Ovis aries: one gene and its partner. The protein of the gene in region 2 purifies or fractionates together with the protein of the main gene of each other region. This does not show direct contact. Links are inferred from orthologs where the notes say so. Each region holds a gene or a part of one and is shown on either strand. Other genes may lie near its edges.

Evidence for each region.
Region 1: the proteins of CUEDC1 (region 2) and SMURF2 purify together in Homo sapiens (co-immunoprecipitation; 3 studies listed by BioGRID and IntAct, with this or other methods). This does not show direct contact. The link is inferred for Ovis aries from reciprocal best matches to the Homo sapiens genes CUEDC1 and SMURF2.

Annotation. Positions count from the first base shown.
Region 1 is NC_056064.1:48,467,301-48,473,028, forward strand, and holds part of SMURF2 (E3 ubiquitin-protein ligase SMURF2), read right to left. Parts: intron 5,211-5,728; coding exon 5,018-5,210; intron 3,736-5,017; coding exon 3,632-3,735; intron 1,369-3,631; coding exon 1,254-1,368; intron 1-1,253. UniProt on the Homo sapiens protein: E3 ubiquitin-protein ligase which accepts ubiquitin from an E2 ubiquitin-conjugating enzyme in the form of a thioester and then directly transfers the ubiquitin to targeted substrates.
Region 2 is NC_056064.1:8,368,600-8,374,327, reverse strand, and holds part of CUEDC1 (CUE domain-containing protein 1), read left to right. Parts: intron 1-1,927; coding exon 1,928-2,054; intron 2,055-2,764; coding exon 2,765-2,957; intron 2,958-4,012; coding exon 4,013-4,093; intron 4,094-5,728.

The DNA of each region.
Region 1 (5,728 bases), about 40 Mb from region 2:
TGGACTACAGTCCTGATTCTACCAGTTACTAGCTATGTACATTTGGGCAAACTGCTTAACCTCTGTAGAAATAATTTTCTATTATCTGGAAAAATGAGGGTAATAATAGTATCTAAAAAGGGTCTCTGTGGGTAGTAACATGAGGTGATGAAGCCCAAGGCACTGGACCTGGCATATGGTAAATGCTCTACAAACGTGAGCTATCATTACTACGGTGAATGAGCTGGTCAAGCAGAATCTTCACCTAAAAATCTTCCCTTTAGGAAGAATACCTAGCAAGGAACTTACCATGCCTACCATGTTTAGACAGATTTGGTCTTCCATGATATATTGTTTTATTACTGTTGGATATTTGTATTTTAAACTTCTTTTACTTCTCTGTTTAACAATCCCTAAGCTCACCTTTAAGCCTCCCTTTTATCTTACAAATAGCACTTTTCTTTTAAAAAAGCAGTACCTGTTCACTACAAAATATTTAGAAAATACAGACAATGAAAAAAAGCTCATAGTCTTAACACTCAGAGATAACCACTGTAAATACTACAGTGTGGATCTTTTCAATGTTCTCACGCATATGTATGTTTACCAAAGTTGCATCATTCTATTTCATTATCTTTTTTTCACCTAATATATTACAAATACTATCTTTACGTATCATTATCCATTATCCCGCAACATCATTTTAGGGGCTCTATAATATACCCTTGTATGGAAAGATAATAGAAATACTATAAAACCAACAAATTAGTAACAGCTGCTAACTCTTGCTGAGTACTTAATAATATGTAATAGGGTTAATAACGTATAGCACTGTTCAGGGTCTCATTTAACAGTCACAACCCTTCTCTCAGGTTCAAATTATATATTTTATCACTGAGGCTTAAGTCAATGAAAGTCACAAAGCTAGTTAGTAACAGGACCAGGATATGTTCTCATGTCTAATTCCAGAGTCTAAGCTCTTAACCACGTCATGCTGCTTCATGTCATAATTTAATCACTCCCTCTTGTGGACAGCAATGTTACTTCCAGTTGGGGCTACTGTAAACAGTGATTCGGTAAACCTCCCTGGGCCCAACTGATGCATCCACTCATCATCACTTATCTAAGAAAAACTTAAAAGAGGACTTGCCAAGTCCAAGGATGTGACTTCAACAAAGCCAACAAACCTATGTCATAGACTACACTGACATTTAAAGATGAAAAAACATTGTAGGTCATAAGTCAGTTCATATCATTATAACCATCAATCATACCGGATTAACTGCAGAATCAGGATTGATCTGCAATGTATAGATATCATCTCTTGAATACTGGAAGAGGCCATAATAAGGATTCAGCATTTCATGTGACAAGAGATATAACCACTCCCTAAAAAACAAGATATGCCACAGGAATTTTTTGTTAATAAATATACTTTTACTAAGATATGCTATTAATTAATGTTAGCAAAGAAGTTTTTAATAAAATAAAGCACGAGTAACTAGTTATGTAAGATCACTTTAGAAAAGTATACTAACCCATGGAGCTCAACCCCATGCCCTGTGACAACCTAGAGGGGTGGGACAAAGTGGGGGATGGGAGGGAGGTTCAAGAGGAGATAGTATACCTATGGCTGATTTCTGTTGCTGTATGGCAGAAACCAACCAACATGGTAAAGCAATTATCCTCCAATTAAAAATTTAAAAGAATCATCATCTACCATGCCCCAAAGTAAATGAAAAACCCTTGTTTTATTATACTGAACTCATGTCTCACTCAATTTTAGGTAATTTTACGACATTTTAACATCAGCGAATATAATAATATCCAGAAGTACTATCAGATGCTGCAGCCCAGTGGTCTGTTACTTTCAATTGCTAAAGAAATTTGTGATCCATGATAAATATAAAATGAAGGGAAGAATATGGTTTTATTTCGAAACCTCCATGTGGTCCCATCCATAGCACCCTGATCCTCTCCAATCGTGGCAGTTTTATACTAGTTTATACAACATATAACATTCACACATAACTAATTCATGTCTTATTGTTGGTATGGTTTTAGTAAGAAAATTTCACTATCCATTTCCACTGTCTGTTTTGTGTAAACCCTAGAATAACCATGATAAACATGTACATGGTGAGAAACTACCAAGGCCTGTGGTCTAAGTGGGAATGAAAGGGCAGGCCAGCACTTCCTGGGGATGTTTCATCCCACTTCTTGGTTTAAGCATACATCAGTGTTTTTAAAACCTATAATAACCAGTTCTATCACCTTAAACTGATTAAATCATTTACATTTTTCAAAGTATGAAAGACCACTTCTTATCTTGGTGAGACAGAAATACAATCACTAGTCTAGAACTTAAGGTGACGTCCGAGTCTCAACTCCTGTCATTCCTCAGCTAGGAAAGGCATGTAAGTGGTATACTCTGATATTATGGATTAAACAGGGGAATAATATAATTTTAGGAAATGCAGTGAAACACTATTAAAATAGTTAAAGGAAAACATTTCAAAGTTCTATCATTTGATGGAGTCTAAATCAAATCATTATGTTTAATACTTGAAAAGTCTATAAATTAAAAAGTGAGATCTCCAATAAGCAACTTTCACACCTAATATGTCTTGTATTATTTTTATGCATATATGTGTTTTTTAAAGGCTTCCCTGGTGGTTCAGTGGTAAACAATCTGCCTGCCAAGCAGGAGACTCAGGTTCAGTCCCTGGGTTGGGAGGATCCTCTGGAGAAGGAAATGGCAACCCACTCCAGTATTCTTGCCTGGGAAATCCCCATGGACAGAGGAGCCTGGTGGGCTCCAGGCCATGGGATTGCAAAGAGTTGGACACAACTGAGCATGCATGCACAGTGATCAATTCTAAAAATCCAAACTAAGGAAACTATCCATTTGCAAGTAAAAGGGTCACAGAAAAAGTTTACAGGTAAAAACAAGTAATGCCAACTGGCAATTATGGGACCTGGTGGAAACACAAATTTCATTTAGGCTGGATTTAGATTAGGGGAGACAGAATTATCATGATGGCCCTTAAAATGTTTTAACAAAGAAGCTATAATGTTTCTGCTGCATTTATATATAGTGAATTCTCACACCTGGAAACAAAATACTTGATGTATGAATGCAGCAGAAACATACTGAATGTACTGAAATATTCTATGGAGAATTTATGATATATACACATACTTTCAGACACAAACATTCCTTTAACAAGGTTAAAAAGCATGGCAATGGAAGCAAAGGGAAACAGTATTCAGTTTAGAATACACATCATTAAAATCTCAAGACTGTCCCTGACAATGTAAAGCAGAGGGAAGAGCATGTACTGAAGGAGAGAAATGGAGAAAATATCAGGCCTATAGGCCCTACCAATAGTCCACGTAGGGTTGCAGCTAGTTTTCAGAGAAAGTCTCACTGGAAGATATGATCCGTTAGGGAGTTCACAAATACTCCACTGGCAGCAGTGCTACAAAATAACTTCATTATGAATGTATGTACTAGGGTATCCTCCATACTGCAGACATTAGGTAACATTATGTTAGAAACTAAATACCAATGAGAAGGTTACACCACAGAGAGTATCTAATTTGCAAATATAAGGATCTATTAGTCATTTACTGCCAAGTATGTCTTTACCTGGCAACCCCTCCATAGTCAAGGCCTTCTTCTCCACGAAATTTTATCATTAATCGCTTCCAGAGATCTTTCGGTCTCATTTTCATGACCTGTCGATATGATTCCTGAAAAAAATGTTTAATATACTATTATTACTACGTGTTTTTAACTCCTGTTTAAACTCTCCTTCCCATTCCACCTACGAAACATATGTTTATTTAAATAAGGTGGAATGTGTTCAACAATCAAATCAACGGATCAACTCCAAGTGTTTGGAACCTCATGGAACTTAAAACAGATATAGTTTAATACTACTGAAATCAATTCCTTTGATAGACATTATCCTTTGATAGACATATTAAAAACCTACTAAAGACTCCATATTTAAGTCCTATTAACTATAGCAATGATACCACATAAAAAAACACAATCTGACAGAAGTACCACATTTTTAAAGTTAGTCGACCTCATCCAAGTGACAGATTCCACCAGAAAGTAAAGGTAAGAAGCAGAAAGTTTCAAAGAACGTTAAGTAATTGTTAAATGTACTCCTCACTACACTGACAACTTTACATTATTTTAACATTACGAAGGGCTGAGTACAAACAAGGTCAGAACTGTTCTGAGAGAAAAAAGTTCATCCTTTGGGAGAAGGATTATGAAGTCCCCAAACATCTCTTGCCCTGGAACCCTCTAATAAGTGGGCAAGTCCTGCCTTGGACCTCTTGCCACTTATTATGTAAGAACACTGAAGCTGCTATTAGAGCTATAAAATCGAGAGAGAAAAGGACATACCAGAAAGGAAGATTTTCAATAAATTAAGGAAGCAGTCCAACAGTATTTAGACAAAACGATTTTTTTTATCAAACAGTCCCTTACCTTTCGGAAGAATTAAAAAATAAGGGATGGATAATATCTGTGGTCTTTTAAAATTCATGAACAAATCAGTATCTGCAATGCAGGGACCAAGCTTTACCCATCAGAACCTCTCACACTTCATCCCATTCAAATGTTTATCTTATATATGAAATCTCTTCAATACTACTGCCTTTACTCCCCACAAGTAAGAAGAGAAATTAATGAAAATTCTCCCATTTTAAAGAGATTAAAGTGGAAGTCGCTCAGTCGTGTCTGACTCTGCGACGCCATGGACTGTAGCCTGCCAGGCTCCTCTGTCCATGGAATTCTCCAAGCAAGAATATTGGAGTAGGTAACCATTCCCTTCTCTAGGGGATCTTCCCTACGAAGGGATCAAACCCAGGTCCTCCCACATTACAGGCGGATTCTTTCCCGTCTGAGCTACCAGGGAAGCCCTTAAAGAGACTGAGTCCCAATATATACTTGGAAAACAAGTTCATCACTGGAATTTAAACTTTCTCTATATTAAAATCAGACTTGTACGTTTACCTCAAAAATCTCTTCCCTGGAAACCTCAATGCGGCAATGGCCAGCCTGAGGCTGTTGCTGGGAAAGTTCCTGCCGCAGAATCTTCAGCTTCTGAACTAGGTCGCGCTTGTACCGTGGGACTGTCAGACACTCTGTGTCATCAGGGCACAACGACACCACCTGCTGCTGCTGGTCTTTCAGTTGGTTCTGCCGACTACAAGTAAGCAAACATTAGTAGAGAGTCTTTTATAAGACTGCAATCACACATTTAAAATAGCACTGCATGCTAAACCAAGTCTATATTATTTCGAGGCCTTATTTTAGTCTTAGCTTGACATTTCTGACAACAATAAACTGGCTCCAGAGTTTATTTCTTAGAATTTATGGAAGTGGACAATGAGAGTTTTATCCAAAAAGCTTTATACAGCTGCTTAGAGCAACTTTCTCAAGTACTGTTTCCATTTTCCTCCACTCAGTTTACCAGCTCTCACTTCAAAATTCAGGCGCATGCCAAACCCTGCGCCTGTTATCTAGAGTCCGTCTCTCTGAAAGAAACAAACAGTTGGAACTGGCAGTTTGGCAGGACCCCTTCTCCTATGCATGCTACAGTCTAGACCACAGGAATGTGGGAAGTTACAGAGAAATGAGCACTTTACAAACAAGTCTAAATGCTTTATAAAGTGACTATTTTTCTTTTCTTTCCTTCTTTATTTTTTTGGGGGGGGCATGCAG
Region 2 (5,728 bases):
TGTCCTTGCCTCTTTCTCCTGAATGAAAGACTACTCTGAAGCCCCAGCACCCCTCCTTACAGGCCACCTGCTGTTCTTCTGTTGAAATTACAGCCTTGGAAGTTTTCGTTTGCCTCTCAGCTCATTTCTGACATTCCTTTCCGACCACAATGGAGTTGCCTGGCCCAGCCTGTGCTCAGGGTCCCCCCTGGCTCTTGCAGCTGTGGGCTGACCTCATCTCAGCCCGAGCCAGGGCAGGGGGATGGGCCCACCCCCCGCTCCAGGACCGTGGGCCCAGCATCCAAGGACCCTCAGCCTCCAGCTCCTTGTCCCCCTCCTGACTTGGGTGCTCAGTAACAAATGTCTACAGGGGGCTGGCTGCAACTCTGGGGCACTCTCCAGGGCTTTCCTGGGTAACTCTGGGTGTGGTTGAGGAGGGGTGGGCACCCATGGCCCAGTGAGGACCCTGAAACCACAGGAAGGGTGGTGAGGCTGGAGGCGATTTCTCCAGGGTGTCGTGGAGTGGGGGGTGGGAGATGGTCTGGCCCTTGGAGCAAAATGAAGTTGCCAGCTCTGTCGGGAGGCAGAGGAGTGATGGAGCAGAAAATATGCCCGGGATTCGGAGTCCCGGGCTGTGATGCCGGCACCCCCTCCCCCCGCCCTCTGGAACAGCGAGAGGGGCCCGGGGTTCCCTGGCTGCCGTCTGGAGCTGCGCTCCCACCACGCACTTAGCAGCTTGTTATCCTGTCTGCTGCCGCCCCCGCCCTTCCCCCTGGGCCGCCAGGCCACCCGCCCAAAATAGAAAAGGAAAGGAAGTTATTTCCATCGTCAGTGGCAGCCCGGAAAAGCTCCCCTCCAGTGAGTGGGCGGGCGGGATTCCTGGAGCTGGAGACCAAATCAAAGCCGGCCCCGCGAGAGCGGCCCCCACCGCCCCCGGCCCTGGCCTGCCTTCGCTGTGTGTCATTTCCCTGATTCAGCAGAACACGTGTTCTGCGGTTGCCACGCTGCAGGCCGCCGGGGAGCTGTGGGGAGCTCCTGGCCCGGCCCCAGGCTGCCGTCGGGCCCGGACGGCGGGGCAGGAGGCCGGGGGGGTCAGGGCGGACACGTGCCCAAGGCCCCCTTCCTAGCCCCCCTCCCGCTGTGGCCTCTGCCTGAGGCCAGGAGAGCAGCCCCTGCCAGTCCCATCCTTAGTGTGACCTTCCAGCTGCCGGTCAAGGCAGCTTCGTGAGGGGCTCCCACACACCAGAGCAGGGTGGCAGTGGTTTGCAGGTGAGGGGAAAGCCCCACAGGGGATAGGTCTCCCCTGGGACCACCCACCAGGTCTGGAGCCTGGGTCTGCTTGCCCTCTAGAGACCCTGGTGTCTCCGTGTCTCCTGATTCCAGCAAACCAACACTGGGGAAGGCTGGGCTGTCAGCCACTCTAGGTGTCTCTTCCCTGGGAACACACCTATCACTCAGCACCCAGGAGCTTGTGTTATCCTGGATGCTAGAGACAGAAGGCTGAAGGGCTGTGACCCCTGCATCTGTGTCCACATCCACAGCACCCAACATGAGCTCTGCCAACGCAGGCCAGAGACCTTTTGTTTGTTTGGCCAAGACACGCATGGCGTCTCACCTCCCTGACTTGGGATTGAATCTGCACCCCGTGCGTTGGAAGGTGAAGTCATGGCGCCTGGACTGCCAGGGAAGCCCCTAGGCCCAGAGACTTTGCAGACACCGGGTGGCTGGAAGCAGTGAGTGTCTGGCGCAGTAGGCGTCCAGGCCCAGAGGTGAGGGCTCAGCCAAGGCCTGGCTGAAAGGGGAGCTAGGGGGCTGGGCCTCCGTGCTGGAGGCGGCTGGAAGCTTGGGCACGTGGGTGCCATTCTGAGCAGGATCCCAGGGTGGTGGGCCAGGACACCTGTGTGTGGGCCTGACTGTTCCCTCCTCATCCTCACCTGTCGCCCTCCAGCATCGACGTGCTGGGCTCCGTGCCCCCTTCCAGCCAGAGGCGCTACCGCAACTGGAACCCCCCACTGTTGGGCAACCTCCCCGAAGACTTTCTCCGCATCCTGCCCCAGCAGCTGGACAGCATACAGGTAATGGGGGTGCCCCCGCCCCCAGCCTGTGCAGCGTCTCTCTGTTCGCGCCAGTCACTGACCCTCCCTGACGTTTAAGCCCAGGCTAAGCTGCCCTGGGGTGGTACGGAAAGAAGGCTGAGCCAAAAGCCTCCTTCCCCATCGGGGCCTGTAAGGTTTCCCCTTCCGCTTAGGAAGGGGACCGCCCTGAGGATACTCTCTGGCAAATGGCATCACCCTAGGGTGGCAGGAGTTGGGCAGGGGCAGGGTGGGGGGTCACTCAGTGACAGAAAGGCAGAGCACCTTCCTTCCTTCCTTCCTTCCCCGGGGAGAGGGCCAGGGTGCTTCTCGCCAGAGGCTGGCCCTTGCAAGCAGTCTCCTCTGAGATGGCCAGGACAAGGAAAGTATGAGTATGGGGACTCTGAGCCATTTGAAGATCACTCTTCAGGACTATTCAGGTTTTGACGAAGGGCATGCTGGTGGGAAGGTCCAAGGTGTCAAGCTGGGGAGGTGGAGAGTAGTTCCTAAGCCCCTGATGCTTCCTCAGCACAGAGGGCTCTGGTCTGTTACGTTGAGTCTTGGCTAACAGCTCGCTCTGGGTGGAGGAGGTCCTGGCCTCAGGGCGTGGCTGCAGCATCCCGGGAAGGACGCTTGTACCCCCGGTGCGCATGGGTGTTGGTGCGGCGTGCGCCCTTGTGAGTAGGGGGTCCGTGTGCTTGCTCCCTGCTCAGGCCACCTCCAGGGGCTCCAAGCTCGCAAGCACGGAGGGAAGCCTGCCGCCCGTGGCGGGGCCTGAGCCCCGGGACCAGGAGAGCCGCTGGAAGCAGTACCTGGAGGACGAGAGGATCGCGCTCTTCCTGCAGAACGAGGAGTTCATGAAGGAGCTGCAGCGCAACCGGGACTTCCTGCTCGCCCTGGAGAGAGGTGGTGCCCTGGGCCAGGGCAGCCGGGCCGGGGCGAGGGGTGTCGGCCGTAGCCTGGGGCTCCGAGCCGGAGGTCTGAGTTGTCCAGGAGAAAGTATGAAAGCGTGAGTCGCTCAGTCATGTCGCTCTTTGCGACCGCATGGACTGTAGCCCACCAGGCTCCTCTGTCCATGGGATTCTCCAGGCAAGAGTACTGGAGTTGCCCTGCCCTCCTCCAGGAGATCTTCCCTACCCAGGGATGGAACCCACGTCTCTCATGTCTCCTGCACTGGCAGGCAGGTTCTTTACGCCTAGCGCTGCCTGGGAAGCAGAGTTCTGCTCACAGGGACCTGAGTCATCGGGACTTAGCGGGAGTGCGGGGCGCCCTCTGGGCTCTGCCCCTCCTTGCGCCCCCGCACTTCTGCTCTGTGCCAGGCGCTGGCGGCTGCCCTGTGCGACGGGAGCTCCAGCAGTAGAGGGACTGTGTGGCTGGGTGCCAGGGTGCGTTCCTCCCTGAGCCGAGGACGTTAGAGCAGGGCCTCTGGAGGGTTTGGGGGTGTTGGGGTTGTTTCTGGGCCAAGGATCCTACTCCTCCTAGCCTGGCTGCCTTCCCCCTTTAGAGTGGTAAGGTTTGGGGTGGCGCACAGTGAGGGGCCTGTGGGAGAGAGGTGTTGTGTGTACACGTGTGTGTGACTGGCAGTGTGTTTTGGTCAGGAACATGGTGTGCAGGGGAAAGTCTGGCCTGAGACAGAGGAGCCGAAGGCTGGTCCCAGCTCTGCAGTAAAGATGCTGGTGGGAGTCTCCAGGCCTTTCCTTTTAGATGAAGGGCTGGACACTCCAGTTTCTCAGGGGCCTGTTAATTTTGACATTCTCACCTTCCAGGCAGTGCTTTCTGTGTCTTTGAGAGTTCTGGTTCTTTGAGAGCCCATAGGTGTCGCGTGTGCACGTGTGTGTGTGTGTGTGTGTGTGTGTGTGTGTGTGTGTGTGTTTCTCAGGGTTTGGCCTCCAACCACCTCTCAGCTCAGGCGGCCCTGGGTGTGAGCTAGCTTCCCTGACCAGACTGTGGGCCTTTTCCAGATCGACTGAAATACGAGTCCCAGAAATCATCCAGCAGCGTGGCCGTGGGAAATGACTTTGACTTCCCCTCTCCTGTCCCAGGTAACCTTGCCTGAGAGAGAGAGAGAGAGAGAGAGAGAGAGAGAGAGGGGCCTGGAGGGTGTGGGGGGCTCACAGCCCAGGGGTGTCTGCATATTTGGAGTTTGGAGAGAGGGTGGGGAACAGGCTGCAGAGGATGGTTTTGCCCTATCAGCATATGCCCGAGAGGGGTGAGACGGGCCCTCCCCTCGGCAGCCCTGGTTCCTGCCAACCCAGCGGCTGATGAAGCCCTCACCTGGGGCAGGCCTGCAGACTCGCTCCACTCCTTAGAGGCACTTGGAGCCTGGGCAAGAAGGGGACACAGCACACCACATAATGTCCCATAGGGTGCCGGGGCTGGCAAGGGACTCAGAGACCCAGGCACTGCCCCAGGGGAGCTTATGGTCTTGTGGGGAGTGCAGGAGATGCCTCCAAGAAACAGGGAGCCCGAACCAGCAAAGCTGAGGACGCTTGTTAATTATAGCAAGCACATGCTGGGGGACAGGGAGGGTCCATCTGGGGAAGGTTCATTCATTCATTCGGTAGCTGGGGACTGTCTCCCCCAGGCCAGGCCCAGCCTTAGTATTGGAAGAAGAGAATTTTGAAAGTTTTATATACAAGACGGGGAGAAGCAGGAATTGCCCAAGCGGCTGAAGGAGGGCCCGGGGTGGACGGCAGGCTACTAGGCTGCACGGATGGGGGTGGAGCTGGAGCTGGGGACCCCTCGAGAGCCCCGGTTCCACTCTCGACATCTAGACTGTGTGTGTGTGTGTACAGTGGCCCTGGTCAGTACCCGCCACGCACACACGGGCCTCCTGCCTCAGAGGAAGAATGTGCAGCTTTTGCCCCAAACAGATCTTGCATTGAGTGGTGGAGTGGGGGAGGGGGGCAGAAGGAGGGGGACTCAGTTGATCCCAGCCTGGAGAGAGAAAATCCCATGGAACTGATTCATAAGCAACAGGCTGGGAGCTTAGGCCCCACCAGATGTGCAGCGGGGGGTTTAACGGCAGCCACATGTCCTTGATCCCGAATTAACCATAGACACCGGGATGGCTGAGATGGATCAGAATGACTCACAGGGACTTAGTGGACAAGGTGACTCGGGATTAGCGTGGGGACCTCAGGAAGGCAGTGAAGGACCCAGGTGGGTGCTGAGTGATCCGGGAGACTCTGGCCGGCCAGCTGGGTTCTGACTTAGGGACTCACCCCACTCTCATTCCTGCTTATGGTCTAACGAGTCAGAAACCCGTGTCTGGGGGAGTCATGGAGAGGTGGACCCTGGCCAGGGGAGAAGGGCATCCCCATGGCGGGGGCCTGCTGTGCACCCTGAGCCTCCGTCCACTGCCGTGTTGATTCTCACACTGCGTCAGGACGCAGGCCAGCCAGCCACACGTGGGTGAACTTTCAACAGCCTGCAGGGGTGCGGGGGAGCCCCGGGGCCTAGCATCTGGTAGCTTCCATGGTGTGAACACTCCAGTCACAGCTGATTTCAAGCTCCCAAGGAGCCTTCACGGGACACGAAGTGGTCAGAGGAGCAGAATTGGGAGCCGGCCCTCCACACAGAATCTTTACAGAAAAGGGCCAAGTGAGACTTGGATGAGGAAGGAAGCAAATGCTCTTTGAAGCCTAGTGTGACTCCCTGCCTGAAGCTCCCTCCGG